2 linked regions of the Xenopus tropicalis genome follow. The protein of the gene in region 2 interacts with the protein of the main gene of each other region in a pairwise test. Links are inferred from orthologs where the notes say so. Each region holds a gene or a part of one and is shown on either strand. Other genes may lie near its edges.

Region 1 (3,658 bases), on a different chromosome or scaffold from region 2:
TTCAAATTAAAAAAAGAAATAGGACTATACATATATTTTTTAAAGTATTAAAGAACCAGTGGGTTTAAACTGTTTGACGGTTAGTCTAACGTCATGCAATGTGAGTTCTAGGCCAGCTGAGAAAATGTAGATACTGACACATACCTGTAGTATGAATAGGATCTGCTTATTAGTGCGCAAACAGGGTGGATTTCAGCCAGAAAATCCACACTAGCGTTTTCTAGACAAAAACACATTTCCCTTACCCTAAACCAGTAAAAAAAGTGTGTTTGCTTTAGAAACATTACTACTGTAGTGGTAAATACATTTGTTATGTAGCTATTCAAGCAGAAATAGAGCACTAGGGAATATGTTTACATAGCACCTAAACTAAGTAAAGAGTGGGATATTCTGATGCCAATTAATTGCTTGTTTATAGGTGCTGGATAAACAAATACAGACTTTAAATGTAAAAAAAAAAATAAAAGTTTACTTTATGGCAATACTAGGCCTTTAAGGGTAAAAGTAGATACTGATTAAAGCTGTGATGTTACTGCTAACCCACAGCTGTTCCTTGGCATTGATTCCACTGTAAAGGTTCTAGGTATGTTATATATAAAAGTGGCTACCCCAGAATGACACCGAAACATATCGTTAATCATACACTTAAAGGAACAGTAATACCAAAAAAAATGAAAGCGTATAAAAAAAATTACATTATAATGCACTGTTGTCCTGCACTGGTACAACTGGTGTGTTTGCCTCAGAAAGACTACTATTGTTTATATAAATAAGCTGCTGTGTAGCCATGGGGGCAGCCATTCAAAATAGAAAAGGCACAGGATAACAGATAAACCCCCATTATATTCTACAGAGCTTATCTATTATCTGCTATGTAACCTGTGCATTTTCTCCTTTTTACCCAGCTTGAATGGCTGCCCCCGTGGCTACACAGCAGCTTATTTATATAAACTATAGCAGTCTTTATGTAGCAATCACACCAGTTTTACCAGTGCGGAGCAACAACACATTATATTTTAGTTACTTTAAAACACTTTAATTTTTTGGTGTTACTGTTTCTTTAAACAGACTTGCTGAGAACTATGGGACCTGCAGGAAGTCCAGTGAACCTGTGAAGGAACCAGCCTTGTTTGTAAAATTGTACATTGTATTCAGTATTTCTGAAAAACGTTTATTTTGTCTTTTTAAGCACATCTTAATGAGCCAAATTATAAAGGACAATATGCTTTCCTGTGTTTGTAGAAATAGCACAATATTCAATAAAGCCAGTTATGTTTGTTTATATTTCCTGCTTAAAATGGAATTCAAGCACTTTCATAAAGGGTATTGTTTTGATGTTTTGCTGTATAATTAAGAGTAATTATGTGACTCAAGCCTTCCATTACTCTTGTTCTGGCACAGGAGACAGCTGTACAAATCCCAGATACAGCAGCAGTCAGCACATCTTCAGAACTGCATGGTGCTCAGGTCAACCCAGGTAACTTATAGAATCAAAGTTCTCTCCTGTTATAAGCTACAGAATAAGTGACAAAGTAGTCATTTCAGGATAAGGAACGATATGGGATGCCAAGTCCCCAACATTATCCTGTTGGCTGTGTGCTGGAAATGGCAAAGAAATAACAATAACAAGTTAGGTACTTAGGCCGTACATAGAACCCATCATAAATAAAACATGTAATTTATAGGTTTAACTTAATATACTATTTTACCATTCACAACTAGACATACCCCTGATACACCTGTTGAACTCCACCCATTATAAGCCCTGGGTTTAATGACTGTGTGAGTAATAGATTTTGCTGAAATTCCGGCACTTTGCAATATTTGGATTTTACTGAATCCTTAGTTCTCAGCTGAACAAAGCCCTTGTCAAATGACAGCTAAAAGTGATTAATTTGATTTTGTTGACTATGCTGCAATTTAAAAATAAAATTAAGGATTGGCATATGGCCAACTATCCATCCATATGGATGGATATTTGCAGTTAGTGCATCTGCTAGCGACAATTCAAATAAGTTACAGTTTCGCGACTTTTCTACGCATGTACTTTTTCAGTTCAAACCTTTTAGTAAATGCCAGACATTTGTGAAAATAAGTAAATTCTAATTTTTAAAAAGAAAAAATGAGAAGATAGAGTTTTAGTAAATCTGCCTCTTTATCCCCAGTTCTCTTAATGGTGTTGTATAGGACATGCAGCCTCCAGACAGTTTTTTTTTGCAAACAATCATCACAGTCACATCATGGTGCCCATAGTATCCCAGTCTTCTCATACAAAAAAACCCACATCTCGGAAGAATATATAATTTGAAATGCATTTGACATTTGAGAAGGAGGAGGTTCGAAGCCATTTCTGTTTTATTTCTCACACATGATGCATCTTTATGTGTTTGATGCACATTCAGTATATGTTATAGCATATATGTCAAACACAAGGCCCGGGGGCCAAATCCGGCCCACCTGGCTGTTTTATGTGGCCCTTGGTGAGTGTGTCTGACCATCCAGCCTGATCAATTTCCATTTTCCTTACATAGTAACTAAGACTAAGGGGTATATTTATCATGCTGTGTAAAAAGTGGAATGAAGCATTACCAGTAATGTTGCCCAAGGCATCCAATCCGTAATCAGATTTAGTAGCAGTAGCAAAACATCTATTGGCTGCTATGAGCAACATCACCGGTAATGTCTTACTCCACTTTTTACACATTGTGATAAATATACCCCTTAGTATCTTATTAAGTATATTAATAAAAAATTTGGCCCACGACTTAGCCTGTGTTTTAGATTTCGGCCCCCTTATGTGATTGAGTTTGACACCCCTGGATTATAGTATGTATGTATGTATGAGATGTATGATTAAATCCTAGAAATTTAGGAAAAAAAGCATATAAACGCAAAAAAAGTTTTTTATGTATTTAGCTTGCATTTCAATAAACACACACAGATTGTAATCTCTACAGGGCTAAGACTTCTTTCTCTCCTCCTTTGTGTTTTACCACATGGTACTTAATCTCTGTGTATTTATACCTATTTCAATGTTAGCCCTCCCTGCCTTTCTATACCATAAAATTGTACAGTGCTGTGTCTCTGATAGGGCCATGTAAATAAAGTTATACATACATACACAAACACCCGTGTGTCAGGGCCCTGTGATACAATATTTGGGATGTGGCTGGATGCAAAAAGCCAGGCAGTGTAGTAAATTTAATTACCTGTTTTTGGTACATGCTCCTAAAAACTTTTTCTTTAATAGTGTTGAAGCAAAAAATTCTGCTTGATAGAATGGTGACTTTTTATACACTTATTAAAATAAACTGGACCTCGTTTGATGGTGTCAGGTTGCGGTGGATTCTAGAATTACAAAATTGTAATGTTTGTACTACTACCATAAAAAAAACTTTTTAGAAACTATTCAAATAATGAGCAATAGTTGCTTTGTACATTCCCCTAAAAGCCACTGTTTCGTTTCCACATTTCATTTAATACAGAACCTTCAAGTACAAGTAATGTTGACGTAGAACCAGTACTGGGGGCCAGTGCACAAACTGATGAAGCAATGGAAAGTGACTTACCAAACATGCCTTCCAGGAAGAGATCACACAGTGATCCAGTCATCTCTGACCTTCCCACAAAAGGTAATAGCCCAATACCAGTTATATGC
Region 2 (3,658 bases):
AACAAGCAGATCGCACCATGTATGGCCACTTTTAAACAAACCCCGACGCTATGGTATTGCGTGTAATTTGTTACTTCAAGTTGGAGAACATTCACTTAGAGTCCACAAATTCCAGCATGTTGTGACAGAAGTGACATCGCTGCTGACATCATTAGGCACACCGTATATTCTACAGGTAATAACTAGTTCTGTATTCTGTATATTTAGCTACATGATACTTGCTATTCGGATGCCAAGGGGGAAGGTTCATTTCAAAGCAAATATTTGTTATGGGTGATACGCAGACCTAGTAATAAGTGACCTAGGCTAAAGAATAACCTGCTGGAACTGCTATCAGCCAGGAACATAAATAGTGCAGTATATCTGGGATAAACCACCCATGCCAGGGAGTGTGAGTGTCATGCACCCAGCCAAGTTCTTATGGAAGTATGGTCAATATTGTAAAATACATTCCAGTCCTGTGCAAAGTTATTCATCCCCATGACCAGTTCTTTCATTTTACCAAATAACATATTCGATCTTTGTGATAAAACGTCAGAAAGATTTAAAGGGAAACTATACCCCCAGAATGAGTACTTAACCAACAGAGAGTTTGTCAGTGACCTATTAAAGAACCTCACCAAACTGGAATACATATATAAATCAGTAAATATTGCACATATTACATACTTTTAGTGATGGGCTCGGTGCTCCCTCAGAGATCAGCTGACAGGAAATAATACAGATATAACTGTAACAGGAAGTAGCATGGAAGCAAAAGATAGTACTCTGTCCATTCATTGGCTGATGGGGCCTAGCATGTATGTGTGCCTTGGCTTGTTTGTGTGCACTGTGAATCCTATGATCCCAGGGGGCGGCTCTTGATTCTCAAAATGGCAGTTTTCTATTTAGGATTATCCAATAACACATACTACTAAAAAAGTATCTTCTTATGAAAATAGTTTATTTAGATGAAGCAGGGTTTTACATATGCGTTTGTTTATGCAGTATACTATTATAGAGACCTACATTGTTTGGGAGTATAGTTTTCCTTTTAAACATGCAGTTGGCGCAAGTCAGGGGTGCCCATAGGGTGCTAGTGTCCAGTTTACAGAAGGTCTGATTTACAGAGATAGGTGCCAGTAGCAAAAAATGAGCAATGGGTTTTTTATCACTTAGAAAATGAAAGCACATATCTGATTTGGATGCTATAGGAACCACACTGGTGCAGTTTAGCCCCTATCTGTGTAAATCAGATAATGAAATATCAGTGTGGGATTTGTTTGGTAAAATAAGAATAACGGCCCAGGGTCTGAATACTTTTGCAAGGCACTGTGTCTGCCTGAGGGTGCCAATGCGTTAAGCACACCCCAATCCATTTATTTGCCACATGGATGAAGTTGGGCAGCATGGATTTCTTGTGATATATAGTGCCAGTAATCCCTGCTTATTTATTTAGCTAACCTTTTATAGCAGTTACATGCACAATGCCCGTCCCGTGACTGGCTTTCCATTGATAAGTACTTTACTGATATATATATATATATATACTGATAGATATACATATATACCTGTCCAACATTAGCCAAGTTAAAGGTGCCTGTATTTAAAACACATTTTGCCTATTTTAATAAGATACATAATTTAATTTTGTAATAATAATGTAGTGATTTGCTTTTACTTTTCATACCTTATCCTGCCTGTGCTAGGGGGCTATAAAGAACTGTACAGCAGCCCCATGACGTTTACAGCCATAATTCTTGCTTCACCTTTCTAGGAAATGATAGGAAAGCACCTCTAGTGGCCAGAATTAGATGGTGCTGATGCATTTCATGCCAGTGTTGTGCAGCTGGTGTTATTGTATCACTCATATTTATCTTTCTGTACTTTATAGAAAAGGCCACAAATGAATACAACACCAGTGAAGACTGGGGACTTATTATGGACATCTGTGACAAAATCGTTAACACTCCAAATGGGTAGGAATTATTATTATTTTTACTACTTCTTGTTACCTATTAGCTGTAGTAGTAGCTGTTATTAGGCATCTGATTTTTTTTTTTTATTTTGCTAAATCCGTAACAGTGACTGTACCTTCTTGTGTCTTCTCGTTTCAGTGCAAAAGATGGCCTCCGATCCATAATGAAGAGAGTCAATCACAAAGTTCCACACGTGGCTTTGCAGGCTCTGACTGTGAGTGGAAGACCCTTTGCCAACTTTTTGATTGGCTGTGATTACAGAAGAACTTACAAAGAGAAGGACTTTTAAAGGGGAACTGACCAAAAAATAAAATAAAAAATATTCTAGAATTGTGTAGGCAGGTGGATTACGGGCATCTTTAGATTATGTCTTTATAGATTTTAATATTCTAGTACATGAATTAAAGAGGTGGTTCACCTTTAAGTAACTAACTTTTAGTATGTTATAGAATGTCACATTCCTTGGTATTCATTATTTTTTTTTGTATTGTTTTTGAATTATTTGCCTTTCTCTTCTGACTCTTTCCAGCTTTTAAATGGAGATCACTGACCCCCAAAAACCAAAAACTATTGCCAAAAACTATTGTGAGGCTACAATGTTATTGTTACTTTTAATTACTTATCTTTATATATAGGGTCTCCTCTATTTATATTCCCAACTGCCTGGTTTGCTAGGGTAAATTGCACCATAGCAACCTTGTAGCTGCTAAAATACCAAACTGTAGAGCTGCTAAAAAACTATAAATAACTGTAACACCATAACAAATAAAAAGACCAATTGCAGACTGTCTTAGCAATTTTTGCATCATTCTAAAAGTTAATTTAAAGGTGAACTACCCCTTTAAAGGAGAGGCAACCCCTAAATCACCTATTAGTTAGGCACCGGCAGTGACTAGTTGACACCAAATTTAAGGGTCCATTTTCCAACTTCTCTTTATAGCTGGAGCTGCTGGGACTTGTAGTTCAACAGTTGCTACAGGGCTTGAATTTATTTTATATATATGTTTTTTTTTAATCTGCTTTTCATTTCCAGCTGTTGGGGGCCTCTGTGTCAAACTGTGGGAAGGCTTTTCACTTAGAGATCTGCTCCAGAGAATTTGCTAGTGAAGTGCGTGGTGTTATTTCAAAGGTGAGTTTTTCAGTAACTGGTTCTTAGTTTTTGGTCAGTTCTCTTGTTTTACTAGAATGCCTCATACAGATAGTGTCAGACCTGACCAGTCTTAGTACTGTATAGCAGCCTTCTGTATACTGTACTGTATATTGCCTTCCAGGTTGTATTAAACTAAAAATTCCAAAATTGGACTTAAGGATTTAAAGGACTAAAATTGGAGCAGTACTGCTTCCTGCATGCCCTGTGCCATGCCCCTTGTGTGCCCTCTTCTGTGTGCCATATGCTTATGTAATACAGTTGGGTCAGAGCTGAAATTAAAGGGACAGTAACACCAAAAAATGAAAGTGTATAAAAGTAATTTCTATATAATGTAATGCTGCCCTGTACTGGTACAACTGGTGTGTTTTCCTTGGAAAGACTACTATAGTTTATATAATAAAGCTTCTGTGTCGCCACGGGGGCAGCCATTTACAGGAGAAAAGGCACAGGTTACTTAGCAGATAACAGATAAAACCCCATTATATTCTACAAAGCTTATCTGTTATCTGCGATGTGCCTGTGCCTTTTCTCCTTTTTCCCAGCTTCAATG

The links.
Region 1: the proteins of stam2 (region 2) and fam189a2 interact in a two-hybrid assay, tested with the Homo sapiens proteins (2 studies listed by BioGRID and IntAct). The two-hybrid records come from large-scale screens. The link is inferred for Xenopus tropicalis from reciprocal best matches to the Homo sapiens genes STAM2 and ENTREP1.

The regions. Positions count from the first base shown.
Region 1 is NC_030677.2:129,493,986-129,497,643, forward strand, and holds part of fam189a2 (protein FAM189A2), read left to right. Parts: intron 1-1,401; coding exon 1,402-1,477; intron 1,478-3,485; coding exon 3,486-3,632; intron 3,633-3,658. UniProt on the Homo sapiens protein: Functions as an activator of the E3 ubiquitin protein ligase ITCH in the ubiquitination of the CXCL12-activated CXCR4 receptor. Thereby, triggers CXCR4 endocytosis and desensitization, negatively regulating the CXCL12/CXCR4 signaling pathway.
Region 2 is NC_030685.2:75,878,994-75,882,651, forward strand, and holds part of stam2 (signal transducing adapter molecule 2), read left to right. Parts: intron 1-1,873; coding exon 1,874-1,958; intron 1,959-2,096; coding exon 2,097-2,172; intron 2,173-2,991; coding exon 2,992-3,087; intron 3,088-3,658.